Linked DNA regions of Canis lupus familiaris. Each later gene encodes a partner of the first gene's protein in a complex. Links are inferred from orthologs where the notes say so. Each region holds a gene or a part of one and is shown in the gene's direction. Other genes may lie near its edges. The genes, in order: UBE2O and NAP1L1.

Region 1 (4,385 bases):
GAAAAATGTGGGGATAAAATGATTTTGACTGAGAAAGGTTAGGGCCATATCCTGAGTATTCTTAATTTCCTTCTAACAACCCATTATGAATCTGTCCTCTGAGAATGTATCTAAATCTTTTGGAACTTCCTTAAGGGACACATTAGTATAATTACTTTTTATATTTCAAAATGGCAATATGGAGCAAACCCGAAGTATAACAGTTCTGTCTGTCTAGAATTTTAGTCTAGGAAAGGAGGGCAGAAGTATTATAGGAACGGTTAAGCTTTATGGAGGGAACTGTATGTCAGGCACTGTTCTGTTTCCTTCAATCCTCCCAATTGCCCAGTGAACCGGGTACTGCTATTATCACGCCGATTTTACCGATGAGGAGAGAAGTTTATCAGCTTCCCTACTTTTGTAAGACTAGTCAGTGGCAGCAACAAGAATTGGAACCCAGGGGCAGCCCGGATGGCTCAGTGGTTTAGTGCCGCCTGCAGCCCAGAAAGTGATCCTGGAGACCCAGGATCGAATCCCTGCATGTAGCCTGCTTCTCCCTCTGCCTGTGTCTCTGCCTCTCTCTCTCTGTCTCTCATGAATAAATAAAATCTTAAAAAAAAAAAAAAAAAAGAATTGGAACCCAGCTTCCCACTCCTCACTCACTGTCCCACCTCTTGCCATGCATACTAAGTAAAACTCATGGAGCTGGGAGCCCCTCTAGGTGGGTTTAAAGCCAAACCATAGAGGCCACTAATGCTTGCTTATCTTTCTGACCTCTCTCTGTACCTCCTTCACCAACCCCTTGACCCCTCCCCGAGGGATCATGACCTTCCAGGCTCTGCATAGAAATTTCCTAGATACACTCTATACATATCTTTTGTAGCCTTGCTTACAAGCTGCCTTGGAGTTGCTTTTTAGCTATTTAATAGGCATATGTTTTGTCTGCCCAACTAGGCTGTAAACACCTAGAGGACAGGGCCGGCATCTTGCTCCTTCTGACCCCTCCCAGCGCGTAGGACTGGGCTGGGGACGCCTAGCAGGCTCGTTAAACGTTGTTGATTTGCCTAGGTGCCCCCCGCACTTCCTCCTCCGGGTCCCCACCCAGGGGCCCCGCTCCCCTTGCTTTCACCCCCTCTGGCCCCGCCCCTCCGTCGCGGAGCCCACCTTTTCCCCCGCCCCCGGCGGCATCTCCAGCGTCCCCTAGCGACGAGGCGAGAGCTCCTAGCAACCGCATCTCGGCTCCCTGACGACGGCGGCACGCAGGCCACGTCAGCGCGCCGTGGCCCCGCCCCCGCGCCGGCTGGCCCCGCCCCTCCGTGCCGCGTTCGCCGCCGCCGCCGCCGCCGCCACCGCCGCCGCCAGCACCGCCGCCGCCCGAGACTCGCGCAGAGCAGTTATGGCGGATCCCGCAGCGCCCGCGCCCGCAGCTCCGGCTCCCGCCCAGGCCCCGGACGCGGCCCCGACCCCGGACGCGGCCCCCGCCCCGCCGCCCGCCCCGGCGCCCGCCCCGGACTCGGCCTCCGGGCCGTCCTCGGACTCCGGCCCCGAAGCCGGCTCGCAGCGGCTGCTGTTCTCTCACGACCTGGTGTCGGGCCGTTACCGCGGCTCGGTGCACTTCGGGCTGGTGCGCCTCATCCACGGCGAGGACTCGGACTCGGAGGGCGAGGAGGAGGGCCGCGGGAGCTCGGGCTGCTCCGAGGCGGGGGGCGCGGGCCACGAGGAGGGCCGGGCCAGCCCGCTGCGCCGCGGCTACGTGCGCGTCCAGTGGTACCCGGAGGGCGTCAAGCAGCACGTGAAGGAGACCAAGGTGCGGCGGGCGGGCGGGCGGGCGGGGGCCGGCGCGGGGCCCGGGCTGCCGCAGGAGCCCTAGGCCGGGGAGGGAGGCTCGCGAGGCGCTGGCCGGAGTGGTGCAGCTGCAGTGGGCCGAGGCGCGGGGCCGAGCCTCCGCCGAGGGGACGCTCCGGTGCAAAGTCATTGCACCAGCCCCGGGCCGCCGGGCCGCCGGGCCGCCGGGCCGCGGGCTTCCCGGCGCGGAGGGACTTCCACGCCCTGCGGCGCGGTGGTTGGGCCTCAGCATTCTACGGGGACCCACTACAGCGGGGCGGGGGGGCGGGGGAAGAACTCGTGAGGCCCCGGGGCACGCTCGGATCACACCAGTGCGGCGTTTCGCTGACCCCCGAGTTGCTGCCTACTGCATTGTGCATCCGGAAAGGCAGGCCGTGCCGGGGCCGGACGGGCAAGGGCTGTGGGCGTTCCAAAACAAAGATCGAGATGAGCCTCTCCGGCGGCATAGAAAAACCCAAGAAGTTCCCTAGTTGACAGAATGCGTTATTATGGCCGGAGAAAACCAACCTCTTCCCCTTCCCGCCCCCCACCTGACCCCGCACCTCCTTTTCTTTCTTTTTTTTTTTTTTTAACCTTGTTGCCTCGTCTTAATTGCTGCAGGGAACTTTGTGAGTAAAATCATTAACAATCAGAGCCGTGATATTAATAGTACGGGGTGGGGGGGATGTGACAGCTGCGACTGGGATTGATGACTCCCAAGTGCAGTTGGACTTTTTGAAAAAAAAAAAAAAAATTACTATAGAAGCCTGGATGGAGAAGAGCCACCCCGTTTGGAAAGCGAGGGTTGTTTCCTGACCTGAGGTGTCAAGCAAACATCAGACCCCCTTATGGGCCCTTGGGGTGAGGCTGGTGAATATTACAGTTTTAAGGACAAAGGGGTTTATCGTCTTAAACCTGAAACCTTGAACCAAGGTTGGTTTGGCGGCTGCTGCTTCTGTCTTGTTTTCCTGAGTGTGAGTTCCTATCAGTGATTCACACATGCACGCACACACCCCTGTATCTTTCACCCCTTCTTCGTCTCCTCCTTCTCCCCTTCAAGAAAACATTTCTAAGCAGGAATCAGGCCTGGGCTGTTGACAGGTCTGATTTCAGGGGAGGGCACTTGAGAAGTTAATCTGGGTTTCTCATACACTGGGAGACAAAGGCCACAGAGGAATAGGGAGGGCTTCTTGCCATACTACAGAGGGGGGTCTGTGATCACTGCTCTGGCAGGAGAAAAGGCCCCACTCCCAGGAAGAGCCTGTGATCCACTTCCTGGTGGCAAGTGACTGTTGTTACGAGCAGGGTCTTCCTCCTTGCCAGCGCGTTTGCACCCACAGAACAGGGAGATCCGCATCCAGGACCCCTGGCTTCCCCTCAGAGAAACGCGAATCAGGCATTAGTTGCTCTGACTCGGGAAGAAAATTACAAGTTCGTGTGCAAAAGTATGTGGAAAATAGTACTTTTTATAGCGGAAGGCTTGTTTAAAAATTACCACCAGCGTTGTTGTGTGGGAAAGAGAAGATTTTTGCTAGTGTTTCTGCATTGCCTTACTAACAAATGGTTGCTCATGTCTTTCTGTGGGTTTTTGAGAAATGTCATTCCCTAACCATCTTCTCCAGAGGTTTGTGACTTTTGGAATGCAACTCATTTCACTGTGTCATGGCCTCCTGCCCTGGGACTCGGGCGGGCAGGCCAAGCTCGCTGCCGGGAGCTGCCATGTTTATCAGTGGTTGTTCCTGTTCATCTTGACTTTGGTGGTTAACTTTATTTACAATTATGCTCTGTCTGCCTCCTCCCACCGTGTGTGATTATTCAAAGTTTGACTCAAAATACCGATTTAAGAATTAAATTGAAAGTAATTTTTAGGTACCAGCTTGGATATATTTTGAAGCTGCCCTCTTGTGATTGGCTTTGAATTTGTTGAAATCCATCGTGAGTCCAGTGGTGGTGGTGGTGTTTTCTTTCCCACTGTAGTGTCTGTAGCTTCTGAGCTTATCAAAAGCTAAGGGGCATAGGAACTCCAGGAAGTGGTGGCACATAGTATCCACCTGAGGATGTTAAGACCCAGTTCTTCTTTTAGGAATTAAGACTAGGTTTGGAGAATGTGGAGGTGTGTATGCCTGATAGGTGGCTATAGGTTACCATGAAGCCTAGGCACAGGTGACCCCGACTAGGGTGGTAGGGTGGGCCCCGGGACCTTGCATTTTAGGAAGTGGTAGGAAGATTTTTTTTTTTTTCTTCTCATTTCTCACCCCTTATAAATCCATGGAGGTGTCAGGGTGCTGTAAAGGAAAGACCATTAGACCAAAGTTGACCACTTAGGTTCTGATTCCTGCTCCATAACTAATTTGGTTATCAGATTTAAGGACCTAATTACTGATAGAATAATGTGGTGACAGTATTGAGAAACATATTTCTTTTTAAATCTGCCACCTATTGGAATTGTTTTATTTATTTATTTATTTACTTATTTATGTTGGAATTGTTTTAATAGTACTCTTTTATGTAGAGTGTTCTGTAGGCTGTAAAGTATTTTTGTAGTTTTCAGGTTAATTTGTTGGGCAATGAGTAAGGCTTAA
Region 2 (3,810 bases), on another chromosome or scaffold:
ACTAAAGTTAAAAAATTTTTTTCTCTAAAACGGTTTCCCCATAGCTCATAGGTTCTACGTTTTGGGAGGGTTATGGTAGTAGCAATAAGTAAGGTTTGGTATGGGTAACAGCAGTGTTTACACAGTTGGATTAGAACTTGTTTGAAAATTGCAGTTGGTGATTGAGGATTTGCTGGTTTCTGTACTTCATCACTGGATGTAAGTTAGGAGATGGTAAGATTTTATCAAGTGATCTAATCTAGTTATTCAATAATTTATGCTGTTATTTATCTAGGAGGAGCTAAAAGAAAAAGCCAAGATTGAAGATGAGAAAAAGGATGAAGAAAAAGAAGACCCCAAGGGAATTCCTGAATTCTGGTTGACTGTTTTTAAGAATGTTGACTTGCTCAGTGATATGGTTCAGGTAATTTTATTCATTAAAAACATCAGTTTACCTCAAAGGGTAAAAACCTTTGAAATTTAAATGGGTATGATGACTAGTCACTCCATTGTTGACCTCTACAGAATGATTGCTGTCTTTTGAAAACTGTTACCTGTAGAAGGAAAATTGCATCTTCGATTATTGTAATCAAATTATAGTTCATTTTCAAGTTAGATACTGAAATAGTCCCTTTGACAGTTGTTTATCATTGAGCAGTGTTTTGTTTAGTCTTGTGTCTTCTCTGTTTAGGTGCTTGGTATTAGAGAGTGGAGAGAGGAAACTTAAAATTTCATTTATCTTACCAAAAAGACCTTTTCAGTCTGAAACAAATATTGAGGAACATTTGCATTTTAAAGGAATAACATAAAGATCTTTAACTCCTTTAACTCCTTTACTCCTTGTCACTTTTTTTTGAAATCCAACACAGATGTCACCTTCTCAGGGAAATTTCACCTGTTGTAATCAGATGCATTTCTTGAGCCACTATTATCTGCATTATAGTACTTTTAGTGTACTTTAGTGATAGAAGTCAAGAAAAAGAAATCTCAAAACTGTGACTGCTTATTGCATTTCTACTTTGGCAAAGTACAGAAGGACCCAGCAGAATGAAAGGAATAAGAAGCAGCTGGAAAAGGAAATGTTTTTAAAGCAAATATGCCTTAGACTTGGTTTTATGTTCTTCAGCCCATTCGGTCTGATGATAGATATAATTCTCTGTTAAGTCACTTTTTTTCTACCATTGGCAGTAGAAATGAGTAGAGCTTATAAGTAAACTATAGCTTTGGTATAAAACCATAATCTGGAGAGTAGGTCTTACGGTTTGTAATTGTTACCTCACTATATAAATGTCTCAGTCACCTAAATGTTTATTGTCCAGTGGTAGCACACTAATCCTGAAGTGCTACGTTAGATTCTCATTTTAGTTTTCTTAATTTGCAGGAACACGACGAACCTATTCTGAAGCACTTGAAAGATATTAAAGTGAAGTTCTCAGATGCTGGCCAGCCTATGGTAAAAGAACTTTGAAATATTTTTAGTTTTTTAACATTAGACATTTATAGGTAGATATATGGAACTTTCTAAAAAGTGATATTCTAAGCCTAGAAATGGTGAGAAAGAAGTTGGTACTCTTAATTATTGTTAGGAAATAAATGTTTGGGTGTTGGTAATTATGATACAGTATTTATTCCTTTTCCTCCCTCTGAACATAAAACTGTTATTGAAATATAGTAAATCCTTGTGTCTAGATGAAGAATAGATAAAAATGATAGCAAGGAAAAAAATAATAGCACCCTGAATACCTACTCTGTCTTAAAAGGTGTGTGTCTGGAAATTACATGAAACAAAAGATGTTAGAGGCCCCCTACTTCCCCATGATGAAAGATCAGCTATGAGCTTCTCCTAAAATCATCAGTATTATGTGAAGTATGGGCAAAGCTACTACAGACTATAGATTCTTTCTTCTATCGTGTGTAGTAAAGTTGGGCTATTTCTCTGTCACATTTGGGGTAGGAGAAGATTTAAAGTCTTTGTAGGGATGAAAGGAGGAGGGAGTACTAGGTCAGTTTATTTCGTTCTAACCTATTTATAAAAATGCTACTAAATAGAAGTTGTAAGTTGAGCTAGGTTTTATTTAGTTTTATTTTGTGCTTTGTTTTGCTTTTTTGCCATAATTTGGGGTTTATCTGACCCATTCCCGGAGCAGAAAAGGCATTATCACCTACTTTATGTGGTTGTAAAAATCAATAGATTAAATTTCACTTAATAAAGCATGAACATTTATGATGCAGGAGTTTCATCAGTTTTTTTTTTTTTTTTTTTAAGAGTTTTGTCTTAGAATTTCACTTTGAACCCAATGAATATTTCACAAATGAAGTATTGACAAAGACCTATAGGATGAGATCAGAACCAGATGATTCTGATCCCTTTTCTTTTGATGGACCAGAAATTATGGGTTGTACAGGGTGAGTTTAATTTTACTACTTTCACAGAATATTCTATGTCTTATTGTTTTACTTACGATTTGTGATATTTAGTGTTTCCTAGTGTGTATTTGATACATAGTTTAAACATTTCAGAAAAGTGTTTCTTAGACAAGCATACCTACTTTCCTAGAACTCCTTGGCTTATGGTATTGCAGACATCTCTGCAAAGGAGAACACTTAAATTTACTCTATTGTGAATTTGTGCTACTTGTCAATAATTTTGTTGAGAAAATGTGTTTAGAAATAAAATTTTCCTCTTTATGTATTGCTATTGAAAGCATTTGAGCCAATTTCCCCCCCTAAAATTGGTAATACAAATAATATTTGGGGTGCTTGGGTGGCTCATTCAGTGAAGCGTCTCTTGGTTTTGGCTCAGGTCATGATCGCAGGGCTGTGAGATTGAGCCCCCGTGTCCCAGCCCAGAGTCTGCTGGAGACTTTGTCCCCCTTTGGTCCTCCCCTTGTTCATGTGCAAGAGTGCTCTCGCTCTCTAAAAAAGAAAATCTCAAAAAAATATATAACATTCGATTGGATAAATCTTAGCTCTTCCAGCAATTAAGTGTAGTATGTTAATTGTGATAGATTCTTCCCTTTGTTTTGCAAGGTGCCAGATAGATTGGAAAAAAGGAAAGAATGTCACTTTGAAAACCATTAAGAAGAAGCAGAAACACAAGGGACGTGGGACAGTTCGTACTGTGACCAAAACAGTTTCCAATGACTCTTTCTTTAATTTTTTTGCCCCACCTGAAGGTAAATAGTGTCTTAGTTTGGGTATTGATGGTTGTTTTATTGTAAGCTTTTTAAAAATTCCTTACTCATTTGAATTCCTTTTCTCAATTTTGCAGTTCCTGAGAGTGGAGATTTGGTAAGTTAAATCGTTATTTATTTGTTGAATTGTTCACTGTGAAATTTAAAGAACTGTTTCTCAGATGTGGGGAGTTGGATAGTTGCTACTCACCTGAGGCTTGCAGTGCATGAAGAAGACCTGTATCCATCTGAAATTATTTCATTCAAAATGCACGGAGTGCTTTCACTGAGAAATGCTGAAAGGCTAAAGACTTTTCTTTTGAGGCTTGTGGGGGCTTCAGGTTCTTAAGATGATAGTTTTCTTATTGAAACTCGGATGTATTAAGTCATTTGGACTATTTACTCCTAACCACATTCTGGTTAGAATCCTTTCTGTATTTGTTACTCCAGTGGAAACACGCTTTCATATTGTGGCCATGAATTATGTGACCCCATAGCCAAGAGCTTACTTATTAGTGCCTGTGTTACAGCCTGGAATGAGGAATAACCTCAAAGAAGTCTGTGCAGGCAAGGGTGTAAGCTAGGTATGTGTTTTGAATTTGCTTTTCTGTTGGGCAGATTTAAAAAAAAAAATCTTTATTCATGAGAGAGACACAGA

Evidence for each region.
Region 2: the proteins of UBE2O (region 1) and NAP1L1 are in contact, whole or in part, in a cryo-EM structure (PDB 7UN6), measured with the Homo sapiens proteins. The link is inferred for Canis lupus familiaris from reciprocal best matches to the Homo sapiens genes UBE2O and NAP1L1. Residues at the interface, in NP_071349.3 of Homo sapiens: Ser225, Asn226, Val282, Lys283, Pro284, Val285, Lys289, Ser290, Lys291, Phe292, Arg293; in NP_001317160.1 of Homo sapiens: Arg333, Arg337, Thr343, Gly344, Glu345, Ala346, Ile347, Asp349.

Annotation. Positions count from the first base shown.
Region 1 is NC_049230.1:5,155,387-5,159,771, forward strand, and holds the start of UBE2O ((E3-independent) E2 ubiquitin-conjugating enzyme), read left to right. Parts: upstream 1-1,375; coding exon 1,376-1,786; intron 1,787-4,385. UniProt on the Homo sapiens protein: E2/E3 hybrid ubiquitin-protein ligase that displays both E2 and E3 ligase activities and mediates monoubiquitination of target proteins. Negatively regulates TRAF6-mediated NF-kappa-B activation independently of its E2 activity.
Region 2 is NC_049236.1:19,274,300-19,278,109, reverse strand, and holds part of NAP1L1 (nucleosome assembly protein 1-like 1), read left to right. Parts: intron 1-274; coding exon 275-403; intron 404-1,360; coding exon 1,361-1,432; intron 1,433-2,245; coding exon 2,246-2,385; intron 2,386-3,009; coding exon 3,010-3,155; intron 3,156-3,250; coding exon 3,251-3,270; intron 3,271-3,810. UniProt on the Homo sapiens protein: Histone chaperone that plays a role in the nuclear import of H2A-H2B and nucleosome assembly.